2 linked regions of the Oryctolagus cuniculus genome follow. The protein of the gene in region 2 interacts with the protein of the main gene of each other region in a pairwise test. Links are inferred from orthologs where the notes say so. Each region holds a gene or a part of one and is shown on either strand. Other genes may lie near its edges.

Region 1 (3,911 bases), on a different chromosome or scaffold from region 2:
ACTGTCAGCACTGCAGGCAGTGGCTTTATCCACTATGCCACAGCACTGGCCCCCATTAAATGATTTTTAATACAATAAAAATTAATATCATTCCCTATTCAAAACTTAAATTTGAGGAAACAGTGAAAGTGGAGGAAAAATGGATCAGATCTGAAGTGACCTTAAGGGAATGTAACAGGGGCTGGTATTGTGGTGCAGCGAGTTAAGCTACAACACATTCCATATGAGCACCAGTTCAAGTCCCTGCTGCTCCACTTCTCATCCAGCTCCTGCTAATGGACCTGGGAAAGCAGCAGAAGATGGCTCAAGTATTTAGGCCCCTATCACCCACATGGGAGATCCAGATTGAGTTCAGGGCTCCTAACTTTGGCCTGGCCCTGCTCCAGCCATTGTGTGTTGTAGATATTTAGGGAGTAAACTAGTGGATGTAAGATTCTCTCTGTCACTCTGCCTTTCAAATGACAAAAATAAATAAAAAGAGGGACCGGTGTTGTGGTGTAGTGGGTAAAGCCACCACTTGTAGTGCTGGCATCCCTTACGGACACCAGTTAGAGTCCTGGCTGCTCCACTTCTGATCCAGCTCTCTGCTGTGGCCTGGGAAAGCAGTGGAAGATGGCTCAAGTGCTTGGGTCCCTGCACCCAAGCGGAAGACCCAGAAGAAGTTCCTGGCTCCTGGCTTCGTATTGGCCCAGCTCCACCCGTTGAGGCCATTTGGGGAGTGAACCAGCGGATGGAAGACCTCTCTCTCTCTCTCTCTCTGCCTCTACGTCTCTGTAACTCTGCCTTTCAAATAAATAAATAAATCTTTAAAAATAAATAAATAAAAATAAAATCTTAAAAATTGTCTAGGCTAATATAATTAGCATATTTGAATAATCTGGATGGCAACCATTATAAAGCACTACTGCTGTGTGATTTCGGTGACCCCAGCTGCATTTACAACTATTATATAATCTTTTAACTAAATCATAATTTTATTGTATTAAACAGGCAGGTATAATACATAAATGTTAGGTTCTGCCATGTGAAGGCCAAATGACATCATGTTCAGCTGTACAACTGAAGATTCTGCTACAGTTTAATTGAAACAAAACAATAGGCCAACCATCATAGAAGCATTCCAAATTCTCATCAGCATCATATGCATGCTGTAGGGAGCATCTTTCACGTCATCCTAGCATTACATTAATGCATATTTTAATTCTAAGATGTGTAATTTCATTTGGTTTTATAATTTTTAAGTAAATGTATTATTGTATAATCTATTAAATTTCACTAGTTTTATGCTTATAAACACTTAAATAATATAGTAGTTTGAGACCAATATAAGGTTTCTTATTTTACTCAACTGTGAGTAAAAGTTGCAAAATGTCTAACTAAATCGCTGGACTCCTGCTGACTTAACCAAAAAAGAAAAAAGTTTCTTTCACTGACTACTTCCTATGTGCAAGGTTTGTCCTAGCTACTGTAATTCATGCTGACTGCCCCTGTAACATTACTTTATAAACACTGAAGCAGCATCAGTAAGTGTTAACTCTTTGTGACTTTCCCCCTCCGTAATTCGTTAACATTGTTTCTGACACAGCTAACACAGCTGGGAGGCAGGAGCCACAGCCTGACTTCCTTTTGAAAGTGCGTTATGAAGTTAGGGCAGGAGGAAAAGAAGCAAACAGGATAAAGAGTTCACTACCTGAGTCTCTCAATCGCGCGAGTTCCTGCCGCCGTTTCTTTCGTTTCTCCTTTTTCAGAGCTGCCCTGTACTTTTTGTGGCTGGAAGATTGAGATTCACCATCACACACAGCATCAGCGTCAGCGGCCCCAACTGCAGCGCTGCCCGAGTTCGCTCTCTTCTAGGACCAGTTACAGCAAATCGCTCGGGAGAGAAGTCTTGTTCCCCGTTAACTGCAGAACACGGAGCTCCCATGGCTCTGTCCTTCCACGCCCATACTCCAGCTCTTCTCCAACCCGCCACCTGTTCCCCTCCTCAACTCACTGAGCCCACGGACGCCCATGACAGTTCAGCGCGAGCCCCAGAAAGGTTTCGAACTGCTGCGCTGGCTCCCTCGCTTAGCCCAGCTCCTTTCCTTCCTGTGAGTATATTCTCCGTGCCCAGGTTCGGCCCGCTGCATCCCCCTATTTTGCCAACTCACCTCCCTCGGCAGAGCTTACCTACGTTTCTCGGAAAACATCACACTCTCCGGCGCCGCCATCTTTGCCAATGCTGCTCCGCCTTCCCCCTCCCCCCAAGACCTGGCCGGAAAAGGCGTGCTTAAGAGCAGCGGGGGCGCGCGCAGGCGCACAAGGAACAAAGCCTCGGCTCGCGCGGACCCGAGACTCAGGGCATGGGGTTCCTTTCTGTGGCTCGTCTGCCAAAACCCTGTCCAGATAAAGACGTCCTTCCGGAAAAAGTGCTCCGGAGTTCTTTCCCGGCCCTGGAAATTATTCGCTCACAGAGCTTCCCCATTGCTTTCTCACTGTCTCCCTCTGCGCCATGGTGCAATGTCTTGGGCCTCTCCATCTTTCTCATCATCCGTTCCCGAAGCCGCATTCCGCCCAGAGCTGCTCGCGTCGCTTCCCATTGGACTGCCTTCAGGCTCCACCTCCCATCGTGGCTTCACCTATCACTGCCTTACACAAATCCATTCACAACTACTGGCGCCCTAAGTGAACCTAACTCCTGGGGATGCGGAGGTGTAACTTCTGTCCCTAAGGAGTTCACTGTGGGGGCACAGAATAGGACCAGTACACAAATAATATAACATGGTGCAGGCAAAGATGAAGTGTAGTCCACTTGGGGATTCAGGCAATTTATGATGCTCCAGTTTTGAAGGAAGATAGCCTTTAACAAGGTGAAGAAGGGTGGCCATGGGGTTGCAAGCAGATCAGACTAAGTAAGCAAAGGGACTGATAATATTCTGAGAACAGCAAGATATTTTTTTTCAAACAGGCTTAATTTACTGTTTTTCTTGTGTAGCCACAGCTAGAGCCTGGGTCCTCGCACAGACGCTCTGGTGTGGTTCTTTACAAGAGTCAGTGAATTCTTGGTAGTGAGGCTTGGTGAACACTGCACAGCTCAGGGGTCAGATAACTCTAGGTCTTGGAAATGGCATCAAAGGTTGCCGAAGCCCCTTGCTGAGGTGTAGCAGTCATCAATACGAACAGAAGGAATTTTGACAATCCAATATAAACTGCAAATCCAGAGTATCAAGGAATAATGCCGTAGAGATAGTCTGGGGCTAGGAATGATATGCCATATTAAGGCACTTAGATTTGTTCTGTGTAATGGGGGACTCTTGAACGCTTTTAGGTAGTGGCCTGTTGTGACCCCTTTTGTGGTTTAGGTAAATTGTTGTGGTTTGTAGTTTAAAGGATTAAAAGATAAAGCTGCAATACAGTATCACAATAATCTACGTACAAAGTGATGAGGAATTACACTATGACAATGAAAGTGAGGATTGAGAAGGTGAAAACTAGCTCTACTAATATTTGGACTGTGATGTTCACATACAAGGCCCATGTATAAGGCCAAGAAAAAATGTTTCTCTCAAGTACACATTACAGCAGCAAAGTAACTTCTCCCATTTTTTTTGAGTGACTGAATAATGTCCCTGACTTAGCTTTGTTCCTGTCTCCTTCAAATTAAAATTGCTGAGATACCTAATTACTAAATTGCCTGTTTCCCCCCAGCCCCTCCTTAGAATCACCCATCTGATGTGCAAATCTGGCATAATTCCTGCCCTACTGCCTCCTACTGAGACATTTAGAATAACACCTGTTCCCCTTCTTCAAGTTGACCTTGTCCAGCTCAGTGTGTCAGTAATTGGAGACAAGCTTTGGAATATAATCGATTGGGAATTGGCTATGTAGGATCTTAAATATATTCCTTACATCTACTCCTAAATTTTCTCATC
Region 2 (3,675 bases):
ACTGGACACTCACCCACAGGCAGGCAGCTGGTGAGAGGGATGCCCGAGGTTTATTTTAAGGACCGTGTCCCTCGCTCCCCGTGCTCCGTGCCTTCTGTAGCTGAAGCAGCTGGTGGTATTTGTGACTCGGATGGAGCTCAGCTTGCCCTCGCCGCCCAGCCCTGGGCAGGGGAAGGCGGGGCATCCTCAGGCCGACAGGAAGCTTCTGAAGCCAGCAGGCACCCAGGCTGCACAGCACCCAAGCCCCTCATCCCTAGGGCGTCTCTGGAATTGGGTCCTTCGCCTCCAAACCTGAGCCACTGTGCCCCATCCTGGCAAAATTCCTGAGTGGCAAGGGGGGTGACTGGGACCGAAGGGTGCCTGGGTGGGAGGGAGCCAGGCTGCACTGGGTAGGATCCAGGGTGTGGCTGCCTGGGCGGTGGGGAGAGGGTGGGCAGGCGCCAACTGCAGGGCAAGGCCAGACTGGCTGGCGCTGGGGACTGGCGTGTGGCCATGGCCCTGGGGAATGTTCAGCAGATGGTCCCGTGGAATTAAGTTGGTGCCAGCCAGTGGGGCTGAGGCAAATTTGGGAAGTGGCGCTGTGGTCCAAGCTCTCCCGACCGTTCCCCTGTCTCCTTTCTTGTGGCATTCAGGGCTGTGGCCAGCCAGGAGGCATTCTGGGTCAGCCAAGTGGTAGCCTCTCCGTGGCTGGGACCTGCCAGGCTGCTTCCCGTGACCACACTGGGATCCTGGGAGCTGTGGAGGACTCCTTCCTTTCTCCTATCGCTGGAGAACCCACTGCCATCTCCTGTCACCTGCCACCGACTCCACTGCCCACGTGCCCTGCTCTTATGTCCTTCCCTCTCGCAGGATCCTGGGCTTCTGAGCTCTGGCCTGTTGGAGCTGGTGGAAGGCCTGGCTCCTTATCTCAGACTTGAACTTGGCTGGGCCTCCTCTCTCGACTCTCCCCTGAACATGGAGGGTGGGTCCCATAAACATGCAGCCAAGAGACTGCATGAGGGGAGATTGAGGGCAGATGGGGTGAATCTCTCATGGCCTTCCGGGTGCATCCTATGAGCAGAGGGTGAACAGAGCTGTCTCGGCCGTCCTGGCCCATTGCTTCTTACAAAACCGTGAGTTTTTGGTTTTTTTCTTGTGTGCCCGAGGAGGATGTGTCTCTCCATTTGCCCAGGCCTGAGCTGAGCCCCAGAACGGTGCTGGTAGAGGCTCGTAGCAGCCTGTCGTAGAGGGTGGAACCCCCGCATTCTCTTTGCCTCCTCCCTGGAGGAGCAGGAGGGGCAGGGTCCAGGAGCCCTCAGTATCTGTCACCAAGGAGAAGGCGGGGAGGGCAGGTGGGAGGGGGAGGCTGGCAGAGCGAAAGGAGCCCCCGGGGGCAGCCGGCTCTCGGAGGCCCTGGTGCTTAGCGCCTCGTGCTGCCGTAGCTGCCCGCAGAGCTGTAGCTCCGGCTCCGGCTCCGGGAGCCCAGGCTGGGACTTCGGGAGCTCGAGCTGCTGCTAGTGCGGGTCCTGCTCCGGCTCCGGCTGCGGCTCCGGCTCCGAGTCTGGCTCCGGGAGTAGCTGCGGCTGCCGGAGCGGCTGCTGCTGCTGCTGCTGTACCAGGAGGAGGAGCTGCTGAGGCTGCTGGGTGAGGACGGGCTGGGCCGGTAGTAGGGGATGGGGCGTTTCCGGGCACTGCAGAGACCACAGGAGGACGCATGCGTGAGGGCGGCACTCCTCCCAGCCCCGACCCAGCCCCTCTCCCCTTCCCTTGCCACCCCCACCCCCACCCCAACACACCAAGGAGAAAGTGTTGGCTCAGTGCTAAATCATCTTGAAAACTGATAATCTCACTTAAAAAAGCAGCGAGCCCAGGGCTCGGAGCCTCCAGCTGGCAACAGAATCCATACCAAAGCTTAATGGTGGTTTTCTGTTGCTATTTTTACTTTTACTAGAACCTTCTATTTATGGTGAGAGAAGCTGATTTTCCATTTACTGTACTGTATGTTTTTTTTTTTTTGACATAAATGCACGGGCCTCTACAAAAAGAAAAAAAAAAAAGAAAAAAAAGGGGCATATCTATTCAAGGAAAATCAAGTCACCCATAGTTCCTTTCACGAGCACACAAGGTAAAAGTGAAGACACAGCCGAAGGGCTGAGGTCTGGGAAACGCGGGACGGGTTAACAACATGGATTTTTCGGGGCTGGGGAGACCAGGCAGCCTCCGGAATGCCACTCTCTCTAGCTCAGCCCTCCTCCAAGCCGAGCCCAGTGATGGCTCTGGGCGAGGCAGGAAGAACAGAAAACCCCCGACTTCTAAGGGCTGAGGCAGGGGCTCCAGGCCCGGGCTCCTGTCTGTCCACCAGCCCATCTGCAGGGAGGGCTCACTGGGCAGCCAGGCTCGCCGCTCCTCTACGGGGGTGGAGGGTGAGCGGCTGAGGAGCCCGAACCAAATTTAGCACGGCAACCTCAGTCGTTCTCCCAGCTTCCAAGGCTGCAGAAACTCATTTCCACTCGGACCCTGGGCCTTTCTCTTCTGAGACCTCACGTGGCACCGCCAGCCACCTGCACCTGCTCCGACCACACGGCCAGTTGCAAGGGCACCCGGTGCACGCTGCGTCTCAGTGCACAAGGCACGGGCTCTCATCTCTGTGCTCCCTTTCAACTCACCCTCCTCCTATCCGGAGAGTTATTTCCTACCACTGGAAGAAGTGGAGAGGCTTTCCCAGGTCACGTGGGAGTGGCTCGGCCAGGACTGGGCTCGAAATCCAGAGCTGGCCACTAAGGCGCCCTCCAAGTTGCCCCCAGCACCCAGGTAGTCCTGCAGCTCTCTGTACACCTGGTTCAGTAGACCCAGAGGTGGGCCTGAGGGTGCCGTCTGTCTCCAATGCCAGACTCCATCACCAGGCCAATACCGAGTCCACGGCTGTGCATCTGGCTCTACACTCCCACTCCCAGGCCAGACTCCTTTCCCTTCCCCAGCCCTGCCTGCCAGGCTCCACCCTCAGACTCCTAGACACCTTCCAGGCCACACCCACTCCCAGGATGGCCCCATCCCTTCTCTGGCCCCGCCCCCCGCAGGCCCCAGGGGGCGGGACGGGAGTTGATTGATCCTAGAGGCAGGGCTGGGGTGCGGAGCTGAAGGTCTCAAAGCTGTACAGGTCCCTAAATGCCGGCCTCCCGGTGGCTGAGGCGGAGGGCTCGGGACCCGAACGGGCGGGACCGCGGGTGGGAGGCAGGGCGGCCTCACCTGGTTATCCTCCGCGCCTCCAGGTGGCTCGGGGAGTCTCTCCGGCGCTTGCGCATGGGCGAGTAGGACCGCCGTCTCCGACGCGCGCGCTCGTGCCCCCGCGGCTGCGAGTCCTTCTCGCTGTACTTGGGGTCCCGCTCCCTAGAGGGGTACGGCGGGTAACTGGGGAGCTGGGGCTGGGGTTGCCCCGGGCCTTGGGGAAGAGCCTGCGTGGACCCGCCTTGGCGGGTGGGAGCCACCAGATGCAGGCGCCGCTGGGGCCAGAGTGCGAGTGAGAATAGGGATGCGGGTGAGGAGGCTGATGGGTGTGGCCATGGGTTCTGGGGTGCGGCCGTGGGGGTGCTGGCAGTGGGGACATCACGACACAGGTGAACCTGGGCCTGGGTGCCACTCCTGATTGGATCAAGGCAACTGCTTCCATCCACCAGGGCGAGGGCGGGGCTTAAAAGG

What was found.
Region 1: the proteins of SRRM4 (region 2) and ZRSR2 interact in binary tests that used the Homo sapiens proteins (3 or more experiments, as listed by UniProt). The link is inferred for Oryctolagus cuniculus from reciprocal best matches to the Homo sapiens genes SRRM4 and ZRSR2.

The regions. Positions count from the first base shown.
Region 1 is NC_091453.1:1,928,605-1,932,515, reverse strand, and holds the start of ZRSR2 (U2 small nuclear ribonucleoprotein auxiliary factor 35 kDa subunit-related protein 2), read right to left. Parts: upstream 2,558-3,911; 5' UTR 2,211-2,557; coding exon 2,170-2,210; intron 1,771-2,169; coding exon 1,691-1,770; intron 1-1,690. UniProt on the Homo sapiens protein: Pre-mRNA-binding protein required for splicing of both U2- and U12-type introns. Selectively interacts with the 3'-splice site of U2- and U12-type pre-mRNAs and promotes different steps in U2 and U12 intron splicing.
Region 2 is NC_091452.1:15,289,266-15,292,940, reverse strand, and holds the end of SRRM4 (serine/arginine repetitive matrix protein 4), read right to left. Parts: intron 3,367-3,675; coding exon 3,226-3,366; intron 1,671-3,225; coding exon 1,400-1,670; 3' UTR 741-1,399; downstream 1-740. UniProt on the Homo sapiens protein: Splicing factor specifically required for neural cell differentiation.